3 linked regions of the Rattus norvegicus genome follow. The protein of the gene in region 1 binds, or shares a complex with, the protein of each later gene. Links are inferred from orthologs where the notes say so. Each region holds a gene or a part of one and is shown on either strand. Other genes may lie near its edges. The genes, in order: Arhgef7, Pak1 and Shank1.

Evidence for each region.
Region 2: the proteins of Arhgef7 (region 1) and Pak1 are in contact, whole or in part, in an NMR structure (PDB 1ZSG), measured with the Homo sapiens proteins. The link is inferred for Rattus norvegicus from reciprocal best matches to the Homo sapiens genes ARHGEF7 and PAK1. Residues at the interface, in NP_001106983.1 of Homo sapiens: Lys192, Phe193, Phe195, Thr198, Asp201, Glu202, Glu217, Gly220, Trp221, Trp232, Pro234, Ser235, Asn236, Tyr237; in NP_001363202.1 of Homo sapiens: Thr185, Pro186, Pro188, Val189, Ile190, Ala191, Pro192, Arg193, Lys198, Arg203, Ser204.
Region 3: the proteins of Arhgef7 (region 1) and Shank1 are in contact, whole or in part, in a crystal structure (PDB 3L4F), measured with the Rattus norvegicus proteins. Residues at the interface, in XP_063131056.1 of Rattus norvegicus: Asp735, Ala737, Trp738, Asp739, Glu740, Thr741, Asn742, Leu743; in NP_113939.2 of Rattus norvegicus: Gly673, Phe674, Gly675, Phe676, Val677, Leu678, Arg679, Gly680, Ala681, Lys682, Phe696, Glu703, His735, Arg736, Val739, Ile742.

Annotation. Positions count from the first base shown.
Region 1 is NC_086034.1:84,399,220-84,406,327, forward strand, and holds part of Arhgef7 (rho guanine nucleotide exchange factor 7), read right to left. Parts: intron 5,253-7,108; coding exon 5,130-5,252; intron 1,120-5,129; coding exon 981-1,119; intron 399-980; coding exon 339-398; intron 1-338. UniProt on the Homo sapiens protein: Acts as a RAC1 guanine nucleotide exchange factor (GEF) and can induce membrane ruffling. Functions in cell migration, attachment and cell spreading. Promotes targeting of RAC1 to focal adhesions. May function as a positive regulator of apoptosis.
Region 2 is NC_086019.1:161,519,352-161,527,037, reverse strand, and holds the start of Pak1 (serine/threonine-protein kinase PAK 1), read right to left. Parts: upstream 4,589-7,686; 5' UTR 4,225-4,588; intron 1-4,224. UniProt on the Homo sapiens protein: Protein kinase involved in intracellular signaling pathways downstream of integrins and receptor-type kinases that plays an important role in cytoskeleton dynamics, in cell adhesion, migration, proliferation, apoptosis, mitosis, and in vesicle-mediated transport processes.
Region 3 is NC_086019.1:103,941,684-103,949,527, reverse strand, and holds the start of Shank1 (SH3 and multiple ankyrin repeat domains protein 1), read right to left. Parts: upstream 4,710-7,844; 5' UTR 4,672-4,709; intron 2,274-4,671; 5' UTR 2,231-2,273; coding exon 1,976-2,230; intron 1,815-1,975; coding exon 1,611-1,814; intron 1,200-1,610; coding exon 1,128-1,199; intron 1-1,127. UniProt on the Homo sapiens protein: Seems to be an adapter protein in the postsynaptic density (PSD) of excitatory synapses that interconnects receptors of the postsynaptic membrane including NMDA-type and metabotropic glutamate receptors via complexes with GKAP/PSD-95 and Homer, respectively, and the actin-based cytoskeleton.

The sequences.
Region 1 (7,108 bases):
TGCTCTGGTTCCATCAGGAACTGCCAGCAGAGAGGAAGGACAGCACGACTGGTGTCCTGGATGACTGAAGCACCCTGGACTTGGAGGCAAGGAGTCAAATGGGTTCACACATCTGCAGCACGAACTGCACTGTGTCCTCAGTTCTGGCTCTGGGGCCCGCAGTGCACTCGAGTGGGAGAGGTTCCTGCTTGAACGTTGCTATGCATGTCCTCATATCTCAGTAAACACTGCGCTTAACTCACAACTCACTCGTTACTGTGCATCCTTCCAGTTGGGTGCTAACCCAATATGCATTCATCATGAGAAGGTCAGAGAAAGTCATACGCTTAACCACTTACTGAAAGGTTTTTGAAGGCAGTCATAGATTTCTGAATATCTTGTCTATCAGGATGATAATCCTTTGGATAAAGAAAGATAGGATTAACTCTCACATCGAAAACACCCCACAGACATTTTGTTTCTCGGTGTGAGGCCTGTTTATCTTTTAAAGGATTACGGTGCCTAAAAGACTGGAGGGAAATTAATTTAAAACAGAACTTCCAAGAAGGGTCAGCGAGCCACGCTGTTTGGTAGGAGCCTCCCGAGGACATGGCCCCACAGTGCTTCCATCTCTGACAGCCCTGCCCTACAAGGCGGAGCTGAGAAACAGCATGAAGGCGTCTGCAGACACCCAGGAAAAGCAGCAGCAGACGTGCATGCTCTTAGCCCACACACAATCAGTGCCTCCCGTGTCACTCAGCATTCAGCCCTACTGCCTGTAACTAAATGCTGCGAGGACACCCAGCTCTATTTGAAAACTACGCTCTGCAGCTTTCTGGAGCCTTTACACGAGAAAGTAAAAAGACAGATCTTACTCCTAGGGCTGGAGGAGAAAATCTCCATGCTTAACAAAGTCCCCCTGAAACACCGCATTATGAACTCTGGACAAGCTCTAGGGTGGTTTCACAGACATAAGGGGTCAGATCAGAGAGCAGCTGAACCTCCATGTGTCTCTCCAGCTCCTTCAGCAGTGTGGGGTACTTGTCCAGGCGCATGAAGGGCTTGCTCAGGCCGGTAGTCAGCACCAGGATCCCAGGGCTGCTGGCACCTTTTGTCTCCATGAACTCTCCCAGGTCCTCACTGGGCAGCAGGGGCAAGGAGGGAGAGAGAAGAGGCTCCAGTTAGGAACACAGAGCAGAGCTCTGCTTCACAGCCAATTTCCTCTAAGATAAAATGGCCTGCTGTAATGGCTACAGCCAGATGTGCTGGTTACCATACAATGTGAAAAGTATCAAAATCACTCTCCCCTCAAGGCACATCTTTACCCTGGGCATGCCAGCTTCATGGAGACCATCACAAACTCAGAGGTCTCCAGAGAGCAAGCTGGTAAGAGCTGCAATAAACTGTCCCTGAGCCACAGAGACCTGTGTGAGGGTCGCCACACCCCAACGTGAAGCATGTGTGAGAGCTGGTGAACTGACACGTTCTCTGGGAGCAGCAGCAGCACACACAGAGCAGCACAGTACGACAGGGCTAGGCACACAGGCTCTGGCATGGGGAAGCCACGTCGCAGCACCACACCGTCTGCTCCGCACACAATGCACATGCCCAACATGTGGAGCATTAGTAAGTCTTCAACATTCTGCTCCCTTTTCACAGCCATCTTCAGGATTCAGCTGATGCTTTCTACAACAAGTTTCAACTGATAACCATTTCCCAGCATCCTTCATTTTTGCTGAACCCTTGACTGACGACATGTTTTCTCAGAGCTCACAATTGGGTTTGTTTTAGGTTTTGAGTCTTACTAAGACCGTTCTCTCCATCCCCATCCAGTCATCTTAAAGCACTGTGGGATGACTGAGATAAATACCTATTTACCAACTTCCTCTGAATGAGCAGCTGGTGGGGCACAGCCTAATAGAGGCTCTCCCTTTCAAGGGAGACACGTACCCAGCCATTACGTTATTCCAGGTTTACTGAAACGTCACAACCTGGTCACTGCAGGGAACTCACAGTACCCCGGCTCAGAACTCCTAAGAATGAGATGAAATTTAAAAGAGCCAAAGTAACTGCCTGGGATCTGCACACAGTGTTCTGGTGCCAGGAAAGCGAAAGTAACAAACCAGTGGAAAATATGTTCTAACAGAATAACTTATAAAATCCATACAGAACGGCTGGCCCCCAAGGCCATGCCTACTGTCCGTACAAGAAAGGAAAGGTCCCATGGGTGGACTCTTACACGCGCTGACTACACACGTAGGGAGATCCATCCTCAGGGGTACAGCACTTCTGACACCTAAGAATGCAGAACCAAACCAAACCCAGGGCTCGCATATTCTAAGCAAAACTTCCCATCAATAAACTACACCCGACTTGCAAAAGCAAAGCTTTCAGACTTGAATAAACAACCTTTTTTAGAAACTCAAAAACTAGGCTCAGGCATGAAAACAGACTCTACTGAGCAGGCACGGTGTGGCAGCACAATGGGTATCAGATCTAGGAAAGCAGCCGAGACTGGCAGCCTAGCATCTCAGTAGAGGAAGCTGCTTTAGGAAGTGACCAGGCACAAAGAACTCATGGCTCAAACCACCAACTTACGCCTCAGGAGAGGGACGGGATCTGTGGGAGGCTGAGGGGAAACCCTCACAGCTCAGGGACCTCAGAAGGGCACACAAACACCACATCCTGCTGTATCTGCTGGCTCGGAAGGATGCTCCTCTCTATGGCTCAGAACCACACACCAAGCTGCTCCTGGCTTTCAGAGCGGGCTCTAAAGTTCTCACTCCACATTTAAACATGCCACGTTGAGCAGGCAGCCCGGACACTCCCCACGTAATACCTCATCTGAGTCCTTCCCCTGAGTTATTTTAAGAAGTGCTTGCCTTTCAGACAGAACTCAAATAGTCCCTGGGGTAATAGCAGAGTGGAGATGAATGGACTGTACACGGTCATGTCCTCAGCTCTGCTGCTTCCCACAGAAGTTAGGCAGGCTCTGCCCAGGACTGCCCACCCTGCCACTCCTGTTCCCACTCCACCCTGTAGGACCAGGCACTCTCTCCACTGTGTGTGTATGTGTGTGTGTGTGTGTGTGTGTGTGTGTGTGTGTGTGTGTGTGTGTGTGTGTGTTGTGTATATCTGTGTGGAGGGGGATGGAACAGAACATATCACTTGCCCTTAAGCTCCGACACAAGCATAGTATCTGTGTTCTGTTTTTGTAGAATTTCATAACTTGCAATGAGTCAATCTGAAGTGTAAGCTTCATGCTAAAGAGAGGGAGAGGCTGACCCAGCCCAATCTCAGGTAGAAAGAAGGACCACAGTGTGCCAAGGTGCTGGCTTCTACTTCCTCTCTGACTGTGACGCCCGCTTCCCTGCACAGTGGTCCAAGTTTACTGACTCCACCCAGAATTGTAGGAGTTAGACAGAGGGTCAAAAACCTGAGTACACCGAGGAGCAGAAAATGCCTGGGGCCACTTACTTTTCTTACCAAAGTCAGACAACAAAATAATGGAGCTTTACTGTGTCTGCCCTTCGGTGTCTGCCCTTCGGTGACAAATGCATGCACGGTCTGCAATTGCTATCACAATCCTATGAGCAGGGACTGGCCACTCCACCTCTAGGTATTGCAACACTTCTAGGCAGGCAGGCAGGGTAGACTCATCCAAGGTATTTACTTGTGTCTCAGTAGTTTTACATGCCAGTGCTCAGTTAGGAAAATACTAGAGTCATTTAAGTCAAAAGCACAAGGACAAGTATCTTGATGCTGATGAATACTTTTCCATTAACAGCTCTGAATAATACTGAACTGCTGTTTATAAATGAAACCACATAATTTCTTCAATAGTAATAAAACTGGTGTGTTAATCAAGAGTGCTGGGCCTCTTTTGGCATCAGAAACCATTCCTGAGTTTGCTTGTCATTTGCTCAGTCACTTGACACAATGCCAGCTCTCAACTCCCAGCACACATCGTAAGGGGTCTCCCAAAATACCTGAAACAACCCAGCAATCTCTTTACCAAAGCAAAAGATATGGCTGGCAACACACAAAGCGAGTGAAATCCTGCACACTGATTTTGTTTCTGGTCGAGAGGCTCAAGCTAACAGTGTGCAGGTGAGCACTCTGCCTACAAAGCGCTGCTTCTCACCCCTGTCCCATGCTCTGAAGCCTCAACGTGGCTTACAGGACTCCCCTAAGCAGACGTCAGCTCCCTCCAGGCTCTCAACAAAGAAAAGGCCTCAGACTAAAGTTCAGAGGGATCCTCTTTTGTTCTGCCTTTTCCCCTTGTATTGGTGTGTGTGTGTGTGTGTGTGTGTGTGTGTGTGTGTGTGTGTGTGTGTGTGTGTCAGACAGACAGACAGACAGACAGACAGGCATGTCTGCTGTGGCACACATGAACCAGCGAGGGAAGGATATTGGGCGTCCTGCTCTATCCGACATAACCTGTGACACAAGATCTAAGCTAACGCCAGTCTAGCGGCCAGCAAGCTCTGGCACTCCTCCTGTCTCTGCCACTCAGAGAAGAGGTTACCATGCTCCGCATTTCCAATGTGGGTTCTGGGTCCAGACTCAAGCTCCCATGCTGCCCAGCAGGAGTAACCAATGAGCCATCCTTCCAGCCTGTAAGGCTCGAGTGAAAATGATCCCCACAGGATCATAGAGAGCAGCATTATGGGAGGGGTGTCTTTATTGGAGGAGTCTGTGTGTAGGGGTAGGGGGAGCTGAGCTTTGAGGTTTCAGAAGTACAGGTCAGACCCAGGGTCATTCTCTCTCTCTCCTGATGCCTGAGGATCCAGACATAGAACTCACAGTTACCTCTTCAGCACCAAGCTTGTCTGGGTGTCACCATGCTTCCCACCATGATGATAACGGACTGAGTCTCTGACCTGTAACCTAGCCCAGTTAAAGGCTTTCCTTTCTAAGAGGTGCTGCTGTGGTGTCTCTTCACAGCAGTAAAACCCTAACTAAGACACAGCCTCCTCAGAACCCTTTTCTTTCACAACCACATGGACCAGCTCGTGACTGATGTTCGGGCACTCATTTTGAGGAAAGCAAACTTACCCTTGCTATGTTTGAACACGCTCCATGAAATACCTAGAGGACAGAGATGCCCACCCTCCTTCCCTTCTGTCCCAGATGGCTTAGCCACAAACCTGTGCTCTGTGAGGACGCTCACAGCAGATGGGTGGTTGGCACAGTAGGCAAGGTACAGGGTCCTCATCTGCGGCATCAGGCTCAGGAAGCAGCCACCGACTCTCTGCTGGGCTTCAGGAGACCTGTACGCAGGACAGACACCATCAGACAGAAGACCAGCAAGTGGCAGGCGCTCCGTGATCTCTTCTGCCCGGTCTCTGTGCCTTTCTGACCCTGCCCCTCCTATAGGCTGACAGGCTAACCTTCTAGTGTGCAGAAGGCTAGGTCTGACATGCCACATGCCTGACCAACCTAGCCAAGTCCATGTCCTGAAGCCTCAAACGCTGTATACGAAGTTAGAAGACACCAAACACGACTGTCTCATTGCAGACACCAAACACGACTGTCTCACTGAAGGAAACAAACACGACTGTCTCACTGAAGGAAACAAACACGACTGTCTCACTGAAGACACAAGCACGACTGTCTCACTGCAGACACCAAACACGACTGTCTCACTGAAGGAAACAAACATGACTGTCTCACTGAAGACACAAGCACGACTGTCTCACTGACGACACCAAACATGACTGTCTCACTGAAGGAAACAAACACGACTGTCTCACTGCAGACACCAAACACGACTGTCTCACTGAAGACACAAGCACGACTGTCTCACTGAAGACACCAAACACGACTGTCTCACTGAAGACACAAGCACGACTGTCTCACTGAAGGTAACAAATGCTTCCTACCCACGTGGTAACGAGGGTGGCCAAGAGTAAGTGGCAGGCGCCTCCCACTGCAGGTCAAGAGCTGGAGGGGCAGCTCTTCCCACTCCCAGGCATTGGCAATGGGACACAGGAGTCTAAAGCTTAGAGAAGAAACAGTTAACCAGAACCCACTGTGGAGAGGGACAGTAGACCTCAGTGGTGAGAGTTGGGTGTGCCAGCTGGCTGGACACAAATAGGGTCACATTTGGGGTCACTGGGAGCCTGACGTGCTCTGCCTATCTCGCACAAGTGTAGGCTTGGGACAGGACACCATGCTACATGGGCTGAGGGGACACCCCACCTTCCTGTGCCCCGGTAGTGCACATCCACCAGATTCCTAGCACACAGAGAGCAAAGAGGACTTCCCGTGCCTTGGGGACTCTGACCCAGAGATCATAGAACCAAAGCTACTGATGCCAAAAGTCCTCCCCAGCGCCACTAGAGCATTTGCCATGTGCTATCTCCGCTCTAAGCAGCTGCTGGCCAGGCACAGGTCAGCGTAATATCAGCTAGAGACATCTGGAAGGAGAGAGCCTCACTGGGCTAACAAAACCCTCTTTAGGACTGGGCTCTAGAGTGGCCTATAGGGCACTTTCTCAGTTAGTGATCAGTTGTGAGTGGCCTCAACCCCTGGGCTGGTGGTCCTGGGTTCTAGAAAAAAAGCAAGATGCACAAACCAGCAAGCAGCACCCCTCCATGGCCTCTGCATCAGCTCCTACCTCCAGGTTCCCACCTGGTTTGAATTCCTGTCTTGACTTTGCTAAATGGACTGTGAATCAGGACATGTAAGCCAAATAAACCCTTTCTCCTTCCCAAGATGCTTTTGGCCACAGTGTTTCATCACTGCAACAGTAACTCTAATTAAGACAGTTGGCAAGGAAGACTGATGGACGGAGGAAAGAAGGAAGGAAGGAAGGAAGGGAGGAAGTAAAGGAGGGAGGGAGGCAGGGAGGCAGGGAGGCAGGCAGGCAGGCAAGGCAGGCAGGGGAAAAAAAGAAAAGAGCAAAAACAAACAAGATGAAATGGGGTTAGAAGGGCAGACCAGACTATGTTCAGAAAGCATCAAATCTGAGAAAAGGAACAAGACTACTGCCTATCTAAAATATATGACAACTGAGGACTTCAGCAGAGTATTTGTGACCTAGGCCATGGGCAGAGAGAGCATGCATTAGGCACACTTAAGGCTCTGAGATCAATCCCTGCAGTGCAAATAAAATACAACACAA
Region 2 (7,686 bases), on another chromosome or scaffold:
GTCTACAGAGTGAGTTCCAGGATAGCCAAGGCTAAACAGACAGACCCTGGCTTGAAGGAAAAAAACATAAAGTAAAGCACTGTTAAAGCTTCATAAGGAAGAGAAATTGTGTAGAATCAAGTAGACCTTTATATGCTTTTAAATATCCCTAGAAAAAGACAAAAACCACGGGGGATCTGGAGGAGACAGCTTCAAGTTAAGACTCAAAAAGTCTGAGTGCTCATTTAGACTTGGAAAACCAAGCTGCAAATTCTCAAGAAAGAATCCTGGCCTGGGATATTTCAGTAGTTTTCAGGTCATGGCTAAAACAATATTATAAGTTGGGAAACCCTGTAGATTTTTTCCTATGGTAAAAAGACAGCAAAGCCAGGCATATGCCTGTAATCTCAGCACTCAAGAAGGTCAGACAGTTTACATAGTGTACTGAAGAAATTAATGACAATTTTCTGAAAGTTTTGCTGGTTTGCTGAATGCATTGTACAAAAGCTAACAATAATATCTCCATGTTAATAAACTGTTATCTGAGACACACACACAAAAAAAATAAAGGTCAGACAGGAAACTGGCACAAGTTTAAGGCCAGTCTGAGCTACATAGCAAGACCCCTTGTTTCAAATAATACTAAAAAATAAAAATAAATTAAAAAAACACAGGGAAAGAAGGAAGGTAACTAAGCTGGCCAAAGTGAAAATGAATCCCCCAAAATGTTAAGATTCTCTGGATTTGCAAATTGGAATGTGATTACTCTTCACTCAAAGTATTCTTCAACAAAACCCCAGTGTAGCAGCTGGCAGTAAGCAGGACTAAGTCATATTATTCATCTAACAAATATTTGAATGTCTGTGCTAGTTGTGGTTAGTCACTCTTCTAGGCATAAGCTTAAAGCAATGAACTAGAACAGAAAAATCTCCCAGCCCTCAAGCAGCTTTCATTCTAGCGGCAAGAGAAAAGACTGGAAGGAGAGCATGTGAAGAGAAGAGAATGTCAGGATAGAATAAGGAAGAGAAACAGAGGGAGGGATAGGGGAAGGAAATGAGGGAAAAGGGAGAATGGGGTGCTGGTTCTACACAACAAACAAACAAAAACAGATCTTTTAACTCTGTAACTATTTCTCAACCTTAATAAGCATCAGGATCTCCTGGAGGGCCTAATAAAGCAAAGAAGTCTGGGCTCCAACCCTAATTTTTTTTTTTGGTAGGTTTGGGATAAGACTCATTAATATACTGACAAAATTCCCAGATTATGCTGTCACTGCTGGTGCAAGGAAGGACCATACTTTTAACAACTAATTGTCCCATCCTAAAGATTAGGTGACCCAGCTTATGAGCTTCACAGGACTTCTTTCTTTCACTGGCTCACATATTTATTCATTCGAAGTACTTATTCATTCATTCAATGTACTCAAAGTACCAGGAACTTTGCTAGACACTAAATCTAAACATATCTTGACCTCAAGTAATTCAGGGGCAGGCCTAGTAGCACAGGCCTGTAACCCCAGCTACTCAGAAGCTAGACAAAGAAGGATTCCAAGTTCAAGGACTGCCTCAGCAACTTAGGAAGGTCCTGTCTCAAAATAAAAAGTAGAGCTAATGAGATTGGTCAACAGGTTAAAAAAAAAGCATCTGCATTAATAAACATGCCTAATAAGTTCCACCCCTGAAACTCACTGTGAAGAGAGAAGGAAGGAATCAACTCCTGAAAGCTGTCCTCTGACCTCCGCAGAATTCCCACTAACACACACACTAACAAAGATAAAATTGAATAATATATAGGGTTGGCAAGATGGTTCATTAAGAAAAGGTGCTTGCTGCCAAGCCTGATAACCTGAGTCTGATCCCCAGGAAAGAGAACCAATTTCCAAAGGTTCTTCTGTATAAACCACAGCTCACATACATGCACTCACAACACAATAAAAAAATAAAACGTAAGAAAGGGGAGCCCTAACATGTCCAAAAAAAGAAAGGATTCACAGGCAGTTGAACCTAGTGATCTCCAGTGGTCCAGTTAGAAAGTTAAAGGAGAATCAAAAGTTCATTGCCTGAGCTACAGAATGAGTCTAAGGCTGATCTTGTCTCAAAATTTAAAAATGTTCAGTATGAGATATCCAAGGGCTGGGGACATAGCTCAGAAGTAGAGCACCTGACCCTAGTACCACAAGGGAGGGAAGGAACGAGCTAAAGTTCAAAGGTGAAGATTCAAATTTAATTGCAACTGATTGCTAAAAGAGAAGTACAAAAATTCTAGAGACTGAGCAGAAGATGGAGAGCACCTCATTTCCAGAGACAAGCAGGAAGAACTGCTTCTCAGAGGTCCGACAAGGATTCTCTACAGGCAAGTACGAGGGAGAACAGTAGAACTCCAGGCAAAGCAGCATAGGAAAAGAGATGAGAAGAGGAGGTAGAGGACAGGACACAGAAAGGTTGAGGATGCTAAAGTAGGCAATAGTGGGCTCTCCAGGAAGTTTGTTTCACACTAAAAAGTCTGAGGTTAATCCTTCAACTGTGAAAAAGGGAGTAGGAGGGTAGGAAGCACTGATATGAGCAGGTTTTGTTTTGCAAAGACCCCTCAAAGTGCACAGCTTCCTGCAAGCCTAGCATAATGCCTCCAAACAGGTACTCAGAATATATGTTGAATTGAACTGGATAAGCTTTGTATCAGGTAAACTCTTACGGATGAAGGGCCAGTCACTTTCCCTACGAACTTACTGTGGCCAGGACAAGACTTGTAAGACAGGTCCAGCAACCTCGATTACTGCACACCATTCCCTGCACAACTGGAGTCCCCCAGAGGACCTTCATTGTTTACAAGTCTACCTCACCCATTAAACTTTGAGCTCTTGGTCTTGTAAGCAAAGACTGACTGTATTGATATGCTTGAGATCAGCACAGACTTAGGAGGCAGCTTCAAACACTGCACCACTCCAGATTATAGTAGTAATGTTGGATAAACAGATGACTAAGTAAACTGATCAGGCCAAGCCATGAGTTCATGTAGCAGGTGAGACTGGAATAAGCTTCAGGAAATGTCAGTGTCGAGATGCCAAAACCCTTTTGAGAGGTGGCTTCTAGTTGAAATGGGTTGTATTCATGAGTACCATGATTAAGATTCCCAAACAGAATGTGTTACAAGGCAGACAGAAGAAATCTCTGTGGGCCTCTGGGAGTCCCAATGGGGAGAAGACTGTTATATTAGGAGGGAGACAGAATGGATGCCAGCAAAGACTCCACAGTGGAGAGGATTCTTCAGTGGAATCTTGAAAGCTGAGTAGATAAGATGATTGCTAGCTAGCTGCTCATTTGTGAACTTTAAAAGCAAACTCCAGGAACTTTAAGGCTGGGAGTGAGGAAGGAGGGAATGCCTAGTGAGGCGTCTCTGTACTGCTGACATTTTCCTCCTGACAGAGTTGAAAGACCCTTAAACATAGGGGACAAAGGTTTTTCTCAAGAATGATTCTCAAAATAGAAGTACTAACTTGATTAATAATCTCTTCTTTTACCTTTTACACTTCTGGAAACATCGTAAAGGATAAGATAATTATCCAAGGGGTTTAACATAAGAAACTTAGGCTACATTATATTTTTAAAAGGTGCCCAATAATTGTCAGGTATTATTCCAAAAACACTCACAGTATTGTTTACCTTTAAAAGATCCAAGATAGTGATGATTGGATTAACTCTGCCTTTGAAATAGACTAATAATGGAAAAAAAAAAAAAACAACTATGATTCCCATTCTTTCTAAGTCTGTGCGGAACTTCCCAAGTTACCGAGTATTCCTGGGGTGGGGGAGGGGTAGCACAAGTCATTTACTACCAGTCTGTTTTTCAAGGCAATGAACCCGAAAAGTGATTCCCAAGCCGGGGCTGACCACGGAGAATAAATCCTCACTGCTTCACTTAGCATCTGCGTCGCGGGCCAGTTTTAGCGTACCAGGACCCCGAAGTTCGGAAGGGAGTCCGTCCGGGACCCGGACCTGTGGACCCTCGGGGTCCCTAGTGCCCCGGCTTCGGGAACCCGTGGTCGCACAGGGGGCCTTTGTTGGCCCGAAGGGAGCGGTCGGCCTCGCGGGGCGGCGCCCGCCTCAGCTCACCTGGCGCCCCTGCCCGCCCCCCAACCCCCGCCCCCCTCACTCCCGCCCCTCCCACCCCCGAGCGCCTTCCCCAACCCCGCGCCCTCGCCCTGCCGCCGTGATGCCCCGAGCACCGTCGCGGGAGGCCAGCTCTCACCTTCTGCGCTCGCTCCGCTCCTCCTCCTCCTGGCGGCAGCCAAACCCAGAGAGAGCGCGGGAGTGTGCGCGGGCGGCAGCCCCGCGTTCTCCTCTCGCCGCTCGAGCCGGGCTCTGGAGGGCGGGACGCTGCGGGCCGCGGGGAGCGGGAGGCGCGCCCGGACTGCGAAGGGGCGGGGTGCGCTCGCTGAGGGGGTCCTTCTCTGAGGAGACTGTGGAGAGCGCGGGCTCTGAGGGGGCACAGGCGGCTGCAAAGAGCCGGTAATAGCCGAGAGGACTCCGCGCAGCCTAGAGGTGCAGTGGGACTGGGAGGTGTGGGGAAGCGGTGAGGAGCGCCCACCGTGCGGCGGTACCTTCCGCCCGGGTCGCAGCCTTGCTATTGTATGCAGCCCGGCTCGCTGCCGCCGCGCCCTGCGACCCCGCCCAGGCCACGCCTCCTTCAGCTCGGGCCCGCCCCCTCCGTCCGGCCTCCGCCCCCGGCAGGTGGGAGGGGGCGGGGAGCGCTGGACAGACCCACGTGAACCAGGCCAACGCGGCCAGGGGACGAGGTGGAGCGCCGGGATGACGTCATCAGCACTTGACGCCAGAGGCTAGGGAATCACCTGGCTGCCACGTGACGTCACCGGGGCCGGGTGTCTGCTCGGAGCTGTCGCGGTCTCTCTCTTTGAAGCGGCCTTTTTCCATGAAATTGGATGCTCTATAAGATGGTTAGCGTGAAGTCGGAGTGGAACGAGGGTAGCCCCTTGGATTTAAAAGCACCATGTCATCCCCATGCTCTTCGCCAAGCGCTGAAAGTGTGAAAACTGTCTCATCTCGCGACACCTCCGACCCTGACATTGTCTTGGGGTTAGTTAGGGGGTGTAAGAGTTAGAGTAAGGGCGGGGAAAAAATAGCGGAAACTTTTGAGATATACTGAATTCACGTTGGAAAAAGTACACTCTTTCTCCTCTTCTCCCACCACTGAGGCTATCTTTGACGCAAACCTTTTACCTGAGCTCAGATTCTATTTTTCTCAATACCTGTAAAGCAGCATTCATCACTTGCATGTCCTGCTGTACCACAAATTCAGTAAACCCAAAACCAAGAAAGTTATTACTCTGAGCCAAAACTCAGAGCCTTATTTCACACCCCAGATATCCAAGTTAAGTTGAATTCCTAACCCGTAATGTCTTTATACATTGCACCTGACTATCCTAATTTGGCCTCTCTTAAGCTTCGAATTAATAACAACAGATACAGTTTAGTATGCATTGCCCTTAAAAATAATAGGTATTTCTAGTGACCTCTTCCCTTCATGTTCTCAGCCAATGGACACCATTCAACATCCCTCTAATCAGATCCTTGTTCTCAATATTAATTTCAAATTGAGCTTCCGGCTTGTAAGCTGAAAAACAAAAAACAAAAAAGAAAAAAAAAAAAAACCAAACACATCGAGCCCTTGCCCAACTCGCTGTTCACCACCATCACCTGGGCAACAGAAGCAACCTTTAGACTCTCAAAATCAAAATCTAACTCATTACACTCACTGGTCTCCAGAGAAGTTTTATAAAGCTACAAAACTTATGATCGCTTTCTTCTGTTTAAACAGTCTGAGATGCTTTATTGATTTTAGGATAAAGTCCAAACTTTAACACAGCACTCACAGGCTGGCTGCTTATGACAGCCTTTCTTGCTTTGTCTCACGCTCTACCTTTGCCCAAACTACATAAGAATACTACCTGATATTTTTTTAACATTCTTCTTCCAATCAAGGAGCCCTTCCTTCCTTATCTGGCTTGAAAACATCTATTCCTTATACAAAGAAAAACTCCAGTATCACAATAATCTAGGACTTTGACTAATATTTCTAAGGTTCCCTGAATTTAATATTATACCTTTCTCACCTATTTTTTCCCTTTCCCTCCCCATCCCCTTTCTTCCTTTTAGGATTCCTGGCTGGCCTAGAACTGCCTCAACTTCCCAAATGTACCACCTGGCCTGACTTTTTTATCCCAAGAAACTGTAATTGTATATCTGACTTAATCAGTTCCACAAAATATTCCCATCTGTACCCCCCAACATGGAGCAGTGCTTGATACATAGTATCAATCAATTTGTTAAAAAATATATATTAATATATAATAAATATATATTAAATGTCTAGATGGTGGCATAGGCATTTAATCCTGGCATTCAAGAGGCAGAGGAAGGCAAATCTCTGTGAGATCCAGAGACCTTGTATCCAACAACAATAACAAAACTGTATTAAATAAATGCTTACTGTGTGCTGGGTGCTGTTCTGAGCCCTTCTTAATGCTATCTTGCTAAACACATCTATAACAACCATTTGAGGTTTCCTCCTGTTCCCCTTGCCCTTTGATGAGGAAACTGAGGTATATGTGCAGATATAATTTATCCCAGGTTCACCACCCAGGAAATGTATCCTACTCTACACTATCTTTGTACTGTCTCCACAGCAGGCAAATGGTAGCTCTTCCAAAAGTTAGTATTCTGACCCCGGGAAGTAGTAAATGTGGTTCCCTCCATAACAAAGCACTTAGCAGGTGTGATTAAATCAGGACTTTGAGATAAGAACTGCTCTGCTCTTGAATGCGTATTTCAAAAGATGGAAAAATTCAAGAGAAAAGTTTTCCTTTGGATCCTCTGGCACCTTGATTTCAACCCATATACATCCACTTTGAACTTCTGAACTAAGTTACTTTAAATAGCAAGTGTATTGTTTTAGGCCACCATATGTGCTAATTTATTCCCTAGTCGAAAGAAATACATCTCCAGTCAGGGGTAGGGCTTGTCTATGTTATTAAAGTGAAAGGGGATGTTTGCTAGAGATGGCCACCCCAATTGTTAGACACCACTTGCTGTGCTGTCCCTAAGACCCTGCCAAAGCCAATAATGAAGACAGTTCTAGCACCCTAGTACATTGTGTTTCTTTGTTTGCTTTTGAGACAGGGTCTTGCTATGTAGCCCAGAGCTAACTCCAAAGCCAAAATCCTCCGCCTCAGCCTGCCATGAGTGCTGAGATTACGGGCATGACGCTTCGCACCCAGCTCTTCATTCAGGATATCACTCTCAACATAGTCTGTTCCTCCAGCTGCCAAAGAAGAGCGGAGTTGGTCATTTTCAGTGTTCCGTGAAAACGTTCTGGATTTCACATTACATCCCGAATTGATAGGCTCATGAGTCAAGACTCTCAAAATTGCAAACAAAATACAACCAACTACATGAAATTGTAAGTGACACTGCCCCTATGCCACTCAAGTACTAGAGCATGCTCTCCCAGTAGGGCTGAAATTTCTCCAAAAAGAGTGGAAACTGGTACATACATAGGTAGAAAATTTGAGGTATTATAATGGTGTGTGGCCTGTGGAGTTCAGTAAAGTTTGATAAAAGTTCTATTATTTACTATTTAATTTATCTGAATAGAAAGTCTCTTGCGAGGCTAGTTTTATGCACCGTGAAATAG
Region 3 (7,844 bases), on another chromosome or scaffold:
CACACAATTAAAAATAAATGTTAGAAAAAGATGCAGTGGAATTTTTGTGCTGTTTTTGCGGTGTGACTCAGTTCACACCTGTCACATTGTACAAAGGAGCTGTACATGGCCACTGGCTCCCAAAGTGGGTGACACAGGTAGAGAGGAGAAGGCATGGAGTGGGAAAGATCAGGGTGGATGGTGTGGGAGGGAGAAGCGGGGGGGGGGAACAGATTAGGGAATTTCTTTCCATTAAATGTCAAGAATTACTTCCCTCTGGCCAGAGGAGCCTCCTAATTTCCTCCATGCTCCTAGAGGGCCAGGGCAGACACAGGAGAGATATTACCCAAGGTCAGGAGGGAAAGGACCAAACAGAATAAATGTGGCTGAGAAAAAAGGTCAGAGCCTGTGGAGATACAGGCATAGGACTGGGGAACTGTGGATGTCCATGAAATACTACCCAGGTAGGAAATTGGCTGATGCAGGGGAAAAAAAAAAAAGACCCTAAGTGCTCCTGAGCAGAGAAGGCAAGAGTTCAAAGAACAGATTGGAGGGCTAGGAGTAAAGCCTTGTTATGGAAGGATGGAGCCCCAAGTTTGATTCCCCAGAAACCACATAAGAGAGCCAGGGGTGGTTGTGTGCACTTGTAAACCCAGTGCCTGAGAGTTGGCAACACACATTTCTCCAGGGCTTCCTGGTCAGCTAGTCTGACTTGGGTGGTAAGCCAGTAAAAGACTATTAAACATAAGGTGAGGCCAGTGAGACAGCTCACCAGGCAAAGGTACTTGTCACCAAGCCTGAACATGAGTTCCATCCTCAGGATCCCTATGGTGGAAAGAGAATAATGGCTTCCCTAAGTCATCCTCTGACCTCCACATGTGCACGTCCACTCACTCCGGCACCACCAGCACCACCCATACACACACCAGGCACAGATGCCATCTGAGGCAGGTGAGGCCACAGAGGGAAGTGGGAAGGGGTTATGATGGAGACGAATGGGTGTCTCCAAACAGGATGCACCCTCAAAGTTAAATGGGGGACTTGGTGTAGCCGAGGGGTTGGCAGAGGGAATGGTTGCTGGGGAGAGACTGGGAAAGAAGGTGATGAACAGGGCGCTCTGGGCACAGGGGGCAGCAGGGTACTCTCACCTTCGTGTGCAGTTTGGCCAGCTGTTTCTCATCCAGGTTGGTCTGTTTGTAGACTCGGGTCTTGTAGCGGAACTGAGGCCAGGGATAGGATATGCGGGGACACAGACTTATCAGACTCTTGGTTGGGGAGCAATTTCTGACACTGCTCTTATCCTCCCAGAATGAGTTCAGGCTTAGCATGGAAATGGCTGTAGTTCGGGTGACCTTTCCAAGTATACCAGGTCATCAAGGTCTACGGCACTATAGCCCCTACCTTGTAAGTATAAGCATGGACCCCACCACCACCAATTACACGAATGTTCTAGAATGACTGTAGTTGGGATTCCCTCATTTGATGGCATAAGGAGCTTAGGGAGAGGAAGGAACACCATCTGAGGCAACTCAGCTGGCGATTTGGACTCTGGGTAGTCTTGGGGAGCCCACTGTGGGGTTCTTTTGGACTTGGAGTGGATGTGTTTCAGGGCATGACTTCTGTGGCCTCACCTCCAGGTAGGGTACCCCTTTCTCAAAGGACTGAGGGTACTCTCTTAGAAGCCTCTCTTCCTCCAGGAAGTTGGCATCCCGGCCTGAGGTGGCTGGCTGGAACAGTCCATAGTTTAGCACATCCTGTAGACTCTCGCTCAGGGCACAGAGTACTTGCTGTTTGGCTGTCCAGATGGTAGCATCCGGGTTGAAGCGTAGGCATTTCTGGTGGGAGATAGGATGGTCAGGGCTAGGTTGGGTCAAGGATCCAAGGGTCAAGGGTAGGTTGGAAAAGGAGTAAGATTGCAGCTAGATCTGGGATTGAGGGTGGGGAAAGACTTGGCCAATGTGTCTGTCTGTCCGCTGGCAAGTGAGTAGCCACTCACCGTCTGGTGCAAGTCAGGGATGCCAATCCTGAAAACCATCATGCTGAAGTGGGCGTCGTCAGGGACAGACATGGAGCGTCCCTGGAGGCCTCGGGTAGAGGCCAGGTTACCAGGTGCTCCGCTGCCCCGGCCCCGAGTACCCTGGGGGCCTCTTCCTGGTCCGTCTGGGGAGCTGTCCGATTCTGAGCCCCCCTCGGGACACTCGCTGGCACTGTGGCGTTCCTCGTCCTCGCTTGTCGCGGGGCTGTGGGTCATCGTGGGGCCACGGGGCGACGGGGGACAGCAGCATCACAGGCAGCTGGGCAAAGCAAGAGTGACCCTCACTGTAAAGTCACTCAGAGGCCACCAGTTCCACTCAGTAGACAGACACAGGGGCAGCCTGTTCCCTTTGCTCTGGGAGGTGAGGGAAACTAGACATGCCCTCAGCCCTCTGCACAGACAAGTTTGCACCACCTCTGCAGCCTTCTTGGCACCTTTCTCCTCCCTGTCCTTGGCCCTGCTTGCAGCCCCCATCCCCCTGCGCTCCACTTTGTGGCTGACCCAGTGTGTCCTAGAAATCACAGAATCACCGCGGGAGCTAGTGGCCCACTTTGTCAAGCTACAAAAAAAAAAAAAAAAAAAAAATGAAGCTAAAATTAGCTAAGGACAGACAGGTGGACCAATCCACCCCGGCATCCTGCCCTCCTGGCCAGAGCCTGGCCCCTTCACCCCAGGGAGGTGGAGACTGACTTTAATAGTAAAGATGAGATGGAGGTGTAAGTTTTGAGCCTGGGGCAGCAGGAGGTGCCCGAGAGCTGGTGATTTCACTGAAGTGTGGCTGACCACATGTTTAGAGGGCTGCTGTGGGGAATGAGCTGTCCCTGTAGGGGATGGAGGGACACGAGTGGGGGTGGATGAACAGAAAAGAGAAGTTCCCCTGAGCTGTGCCCAAGGGAACGATGAGAGGTTACTGGGGCGTGTGAAGAGGATGTGTGGGTGGATTGGGAGGCTGGCCCTGGCTCTGGCTGGAAGGTCCAGGTGACAAGCTGTGGTGGCCTGGGTGGGTGTGGGCAGTTGCAGGTGACCTGTGGGTGTTTCAGGAATGGCACAGCAGGGTGGGTGGGCTGGCACTGCTTGGTACTGGCGGCTTCACCGAGGAGAACTTGGATTGGGTGGGGTGTCTGGGGAGGAGGCTAAGAAGTGAGCTGCAACAATATGGGGTACCAGGAGATGTGGAGGGTCGTCCCTCTCAAAGTGGCCTACTGAGGGGTGGCACCTTTCCAAATGTGGTCCTCTTCTCTCTTGTTTGCCACCCCCCACTCCCCACTCTAGAACCGGAAAGCAGAATGTCTGGTCTGGTCCCTCCCACCCCACACCAGGCCCGGCTCCTGCACCGTTGCCATGGAGATGGGAAGCAGTGGAGGGTACTGCTGACTTTGGGGGAGTGGGGATGGGCTGGGGAGGGAGGGTTGGGGAAGGAAAGACGAAATGTTTAAGGAAGAGAGTTCCAAGAACTGTAGGCGAGCAGGCGTCTAAACGCGGGCTGAGGAACCCTCCCCCTCGCGGGGACCGAGCTCTGAAGCACCCCATCCCAGGTACCCTGCCTTGTTGCTCAACCCGCTGGGCTTGGGAGGAGACCCGGGCCTCCTGCTCTGTCTGCGGACCGCCCTACACAACCTCCCGCCTGGCAGTGTGACCTCAGCCACTCCCCCTCGGCTGACCCTGGCTGACATCCCTTCTGCAGCTACAGCTCTGCAGGGATGGGGTGGCAGGTGGGATAAAAGGTCAGCAAAGGCCGGGTCCCCCATAGCGCGGGCTCCACTGCCCCAACACCCAGGACAACTCGGGGCCCCTCCCCCTCCGGCCTCGAGGGAGGGAGCGGGCACACTCCGCCGGGGCGGCATGAATCAAAAGCTCGGCGGCTAAGAATAGCTGGCACGCAGCTGGTACCGAGACGGGCTGAGGAATCGGCGAGGGGGGGTGGCGAAGGGGAGAGAGGGGGTGCCCTGAGAGGCTGCGGGGGGACAGGGGACGGCTGGCGTGGCCAGGAGCCGGGCACCGGGAGAATGAATGGAGGTGGAGGAAGGCGGGAGCAGGGAGGTTGGTGAAAGAATAGCCCTGGGTCGGGAGAGGGAGCTGGGACTGGGGGCGGGAGCAGAGGGGGCGCGCCGGCCTGCGGAGAAGGAACCCGAGGCGCGATGGGCACGCGAGGCGCGGGTGGGAAGGAACTATAGACGCCTGGAAGGGGCGCCAGGTCCAGTCGTCGTGGGAGACTCTGGCCCAGACCCTGGGTTAGAGTGGTTGGGGACAAGGGTGACCTAGGGGAGGGGCCCAGGTGTGCTGGGGTGGGCGAGGCGGGGGAGTGGCCGAGCCCGGCTGGAAGGCGGGGACCATGACCCAGTCGTGGCCCCGGAGAGCCTCGGAGACCAGTACGGCTTAGGGGGCGCAGCACGTGGGGGATGGGGCACACCCTCCTAGCAAGGATACGATCTGGGACGGGGCACTCGGGACCGGGTCGCAACCCAATTTGATGTTACCCGTAGGGGCCACGTTACCTTCCACACCCTCACCCCCCAGACACACACCCTAAATGTACACCCAGGCCGGAGCCGGCGCCAGGCCAAGGACATCCGGGGCGCCTCCGCCCTCTCCCGCAACCCCAGTTCTTGCAATTGCACCCTACCCCAGAACCTCCCAGTAGTGCCCCATGCCCTTACCTGCCTGGCGGGGCTGCTGAGTCCCGGTCGGCGGCGCCCGCGGCCCCTCCCCCCTCCCCCCACCCCCCACCCCCCCCGAATACGGGGGACCCTCAGGCCATGCCCCACCGCCCCGGAGGGCGAGCGGGCCCGGGAGGGGGCGGGCGAGGGCCGGGGGGAGGGCGGGGGGGCCGCGGACCTCACCCCCCCCGCGGGCCGGGCCCGGCCATCCGCAGCGCGCCCCCCTTTCTGCCGCGCCCGTGAGCCCCTCCTTGCCCGCCCCGGGGCTGGGGTCCGGCCGGGCTACGGGCGCCGCGGCTCCCTCCTGCTCTGCCTCCTCCTCCTCCTCTGCCAGGGGCCGCCGCGCCGCCGCCTGCTCCTGCTCGGCGCCTCCACTGCCACCCGGCTCGCTCTCTCGCACTCGCTGTCTCTCCCTCACCCGGTCTCTCTCTCTCTCTCTCTCTCTCTCTCTCTCTCTCTCTCTCTCTCTTGCTCTCCTCTCTCTCCCTCCCTCCCCTCCCTCCGCCCTCTCCCCTCCCTCCGGGAGCCCGCAGAGAGATATCGCCCCTCCCTGAGCCCCCAAACCTCGCCCATTCTCCCCCCCAAACGCGGCTCCACCCCCTCCCCTCGCCCTCCTCCACCCTTCATCTCCACTGCCCCATCCCCAAACCCAGACTCCACCCCTGCTTACCCCCATGTACCCAAACGAGATCCTGCTCGTCCTAGGGGAGCCCCTCCTCCAAATTGCTCCCCACCCTTTCTACACATGGTGGGGTGCTATTTGTATTTGTAGTGTCTGTATATTCCCAGAATCGACAGATTCTGGTCCTGTACCCCCAAATATGTGTACCTTCACCCCTCCACATACACATACCCTGCCCCCCCACACACACATGCACACAACTTTTCATATAAGCCCACATACATGGAAGTACCTAAGCACATACTCCTTCTTCCAAGCAGGTCCTGCAAACCAAGCATACCCACAGTGCCTGCCCAGTATACCTGACCAGAGGCACACACCCGGCTTCATGCACAATGTCACACCCCTGTGGCACGGCACACTGACAGCACCCTGCAAGATTTACCTACGGCACACTCCAATTGCAGGCTTAGATCTGCCCACCAGAAGCACGGGTAGACAGACGTGTGTGGTGTCCCAGCCAGCTCACCCACTCCACTGTCCATCATAGGTGTGTATGCCTGTTTGACTGTTGTACACCCTGCCCACAGCACCCCCTCCCCCAGTTATCCTTGAGTATATGCTAGGTGCCAGGATCGGGGACTTCTTTGCTGTCAGAGCACACAGAAAGGCTAAGTAATTTGGCCCAGTTCACCCAGTTATAAAGAGGTTGTATCAAGGGTGAAGAACGCAGAGGGTGTCTCCATCTTCTCCCCAGTCCTGCTACGGTCTCTCAAAGAGCATACCTGAAGATGTATGCCCTTATGTATCCTGTATCGCCTCCAATTTCACATACATGGGCATGCAAAGCTAACTGTCTGCAGGTAGTTAGCCCTCTCCTACCCTGTACATTCATAGAGGAAGGCAGATTCATTCAGTTCCTTTCAGTCCTCTTCAACCATGGCTTCCACTTTGTCCAGCAGCGTCCCTAGGGCCACCAGGGAATACCAGCTCCTACAGAGGGTAGTTCTAGGTAGTTTCTGGGTTTGTTTCCAGCTGCGGGCTCTCTGGGATAATCTGAAGTTGGTACCCAGCTCAGAGAGGCCCTCATCTTGAGGCACCCACCCAGGTGCTGAGCAGCTGTGCCCATGGAGAACAGCTGCTGGTGTTGGTACAAGCAGTGAGTGGCCATAAAGCATTCTACAGTTTACAAGGCCTTTCTGCATTGTATGGAGATCTCCAGCTTCTGATGAGAGACCTCTGTGCTACAGATGAGCATCTGGGAGGCTCCAAGGGAGTCAGTTGGCTGCCCAAGGTCACTCTGCCCTCTGTGTACTAGACTTCCTTGAAAACTGGTGTGTTCCTTTACAAGGCCCCTCATGGGGCTCTCGGCAGCTGAGGGCAGATGTGAGGTACCTGCTTGGGGCCAGAGGCCTTGGCTACATGATGCCACACCCGTGACCTCCATAAGGCTGCCATGTCTTCTCTCTGAGCTTCTTTGCTTTGTCCTTGCAGAGCCTGGGTCCCCAGATCTCTGGTACATGAATTGGCAGGACCTGCCAGGCTAAAGCTAGAACAGCTCTGCAGGACTCATGAGCCTGGCATGGCATGGGTATGGCCTGGCGTTGGGACCTTCCCCTGCCTTCAGCACCTGGCAGACACCGTGAGAACTCCGGGGCAACCTAAACACAAAGGTCTGATTTTAAGGCCTTTTACCAAGTTATTTTAACATTGGTCTTATTCATCAGCTTAACTGAGCACCTACTGGGTGCTAGGAAGCCCTGCTTTGATTTGGGGATTCAGAAACAGCCCCAAATCCATGCCTTGGCTTGTAAGAGACAGAGGTAAATAAACAAGACCATACTGGTTGAATCATACCTAGAAGAAAAGGGGGCATTTTGAGAAAGCATCTCATGGTGGCCAGAGCTGAGGTTTCAGCAATGAGAAAGAGCTGAGGGAAGAGTCTTCAGAGGGAGGAACAGGCTAGGAAGGACACAGCAAAGATGAAGGGTGAGGGGAGATGGGGTGAGATTGCAGAAAAATGGTTTTCTCTCAGGCCCCAGCAGGCTGTACTGAGGACCGAGGCCGGGGTTTGGCTTCTCTCCTGCTTCTGATGGGAAGGTGAGGAGGCAGGGGCGTGGGGAGTAATGTGATCTGATTTATGGTTTGGAAGGATTGCTCTGGCTGCGGCAGGCAAGCAGCCCAGATTGGAGGGGCTTTGTAGAAGGAGGGAGAGCAAGGGGAGGCCACTGCAGTGGTCCAGGCTGGGATGAGGCAGCTTGCAGAGGGTTCTCTGCTCACAGCCCAGTGCTTGGTTAGTACACATCCTGGAGATACCTGCTCTGACTGTCAACCCCTTCTCCTCCCTTGATGGGGGAGCCACTGGGCCCACTCCCATCCTCTCCCACCCTCTCCCACCCCAGCATCAGCCTGCTCAGGGCCTGGCCTGCAGGAGAATCTTGGAGTTACACCTTTCAAGCTGCACACATGCATACTGTTCACACATATCCCCACACGCAGGCACACACAAGGGCTGCTAAGGCTAGGATAGGCCATCTGGGTGGGGGTTGGG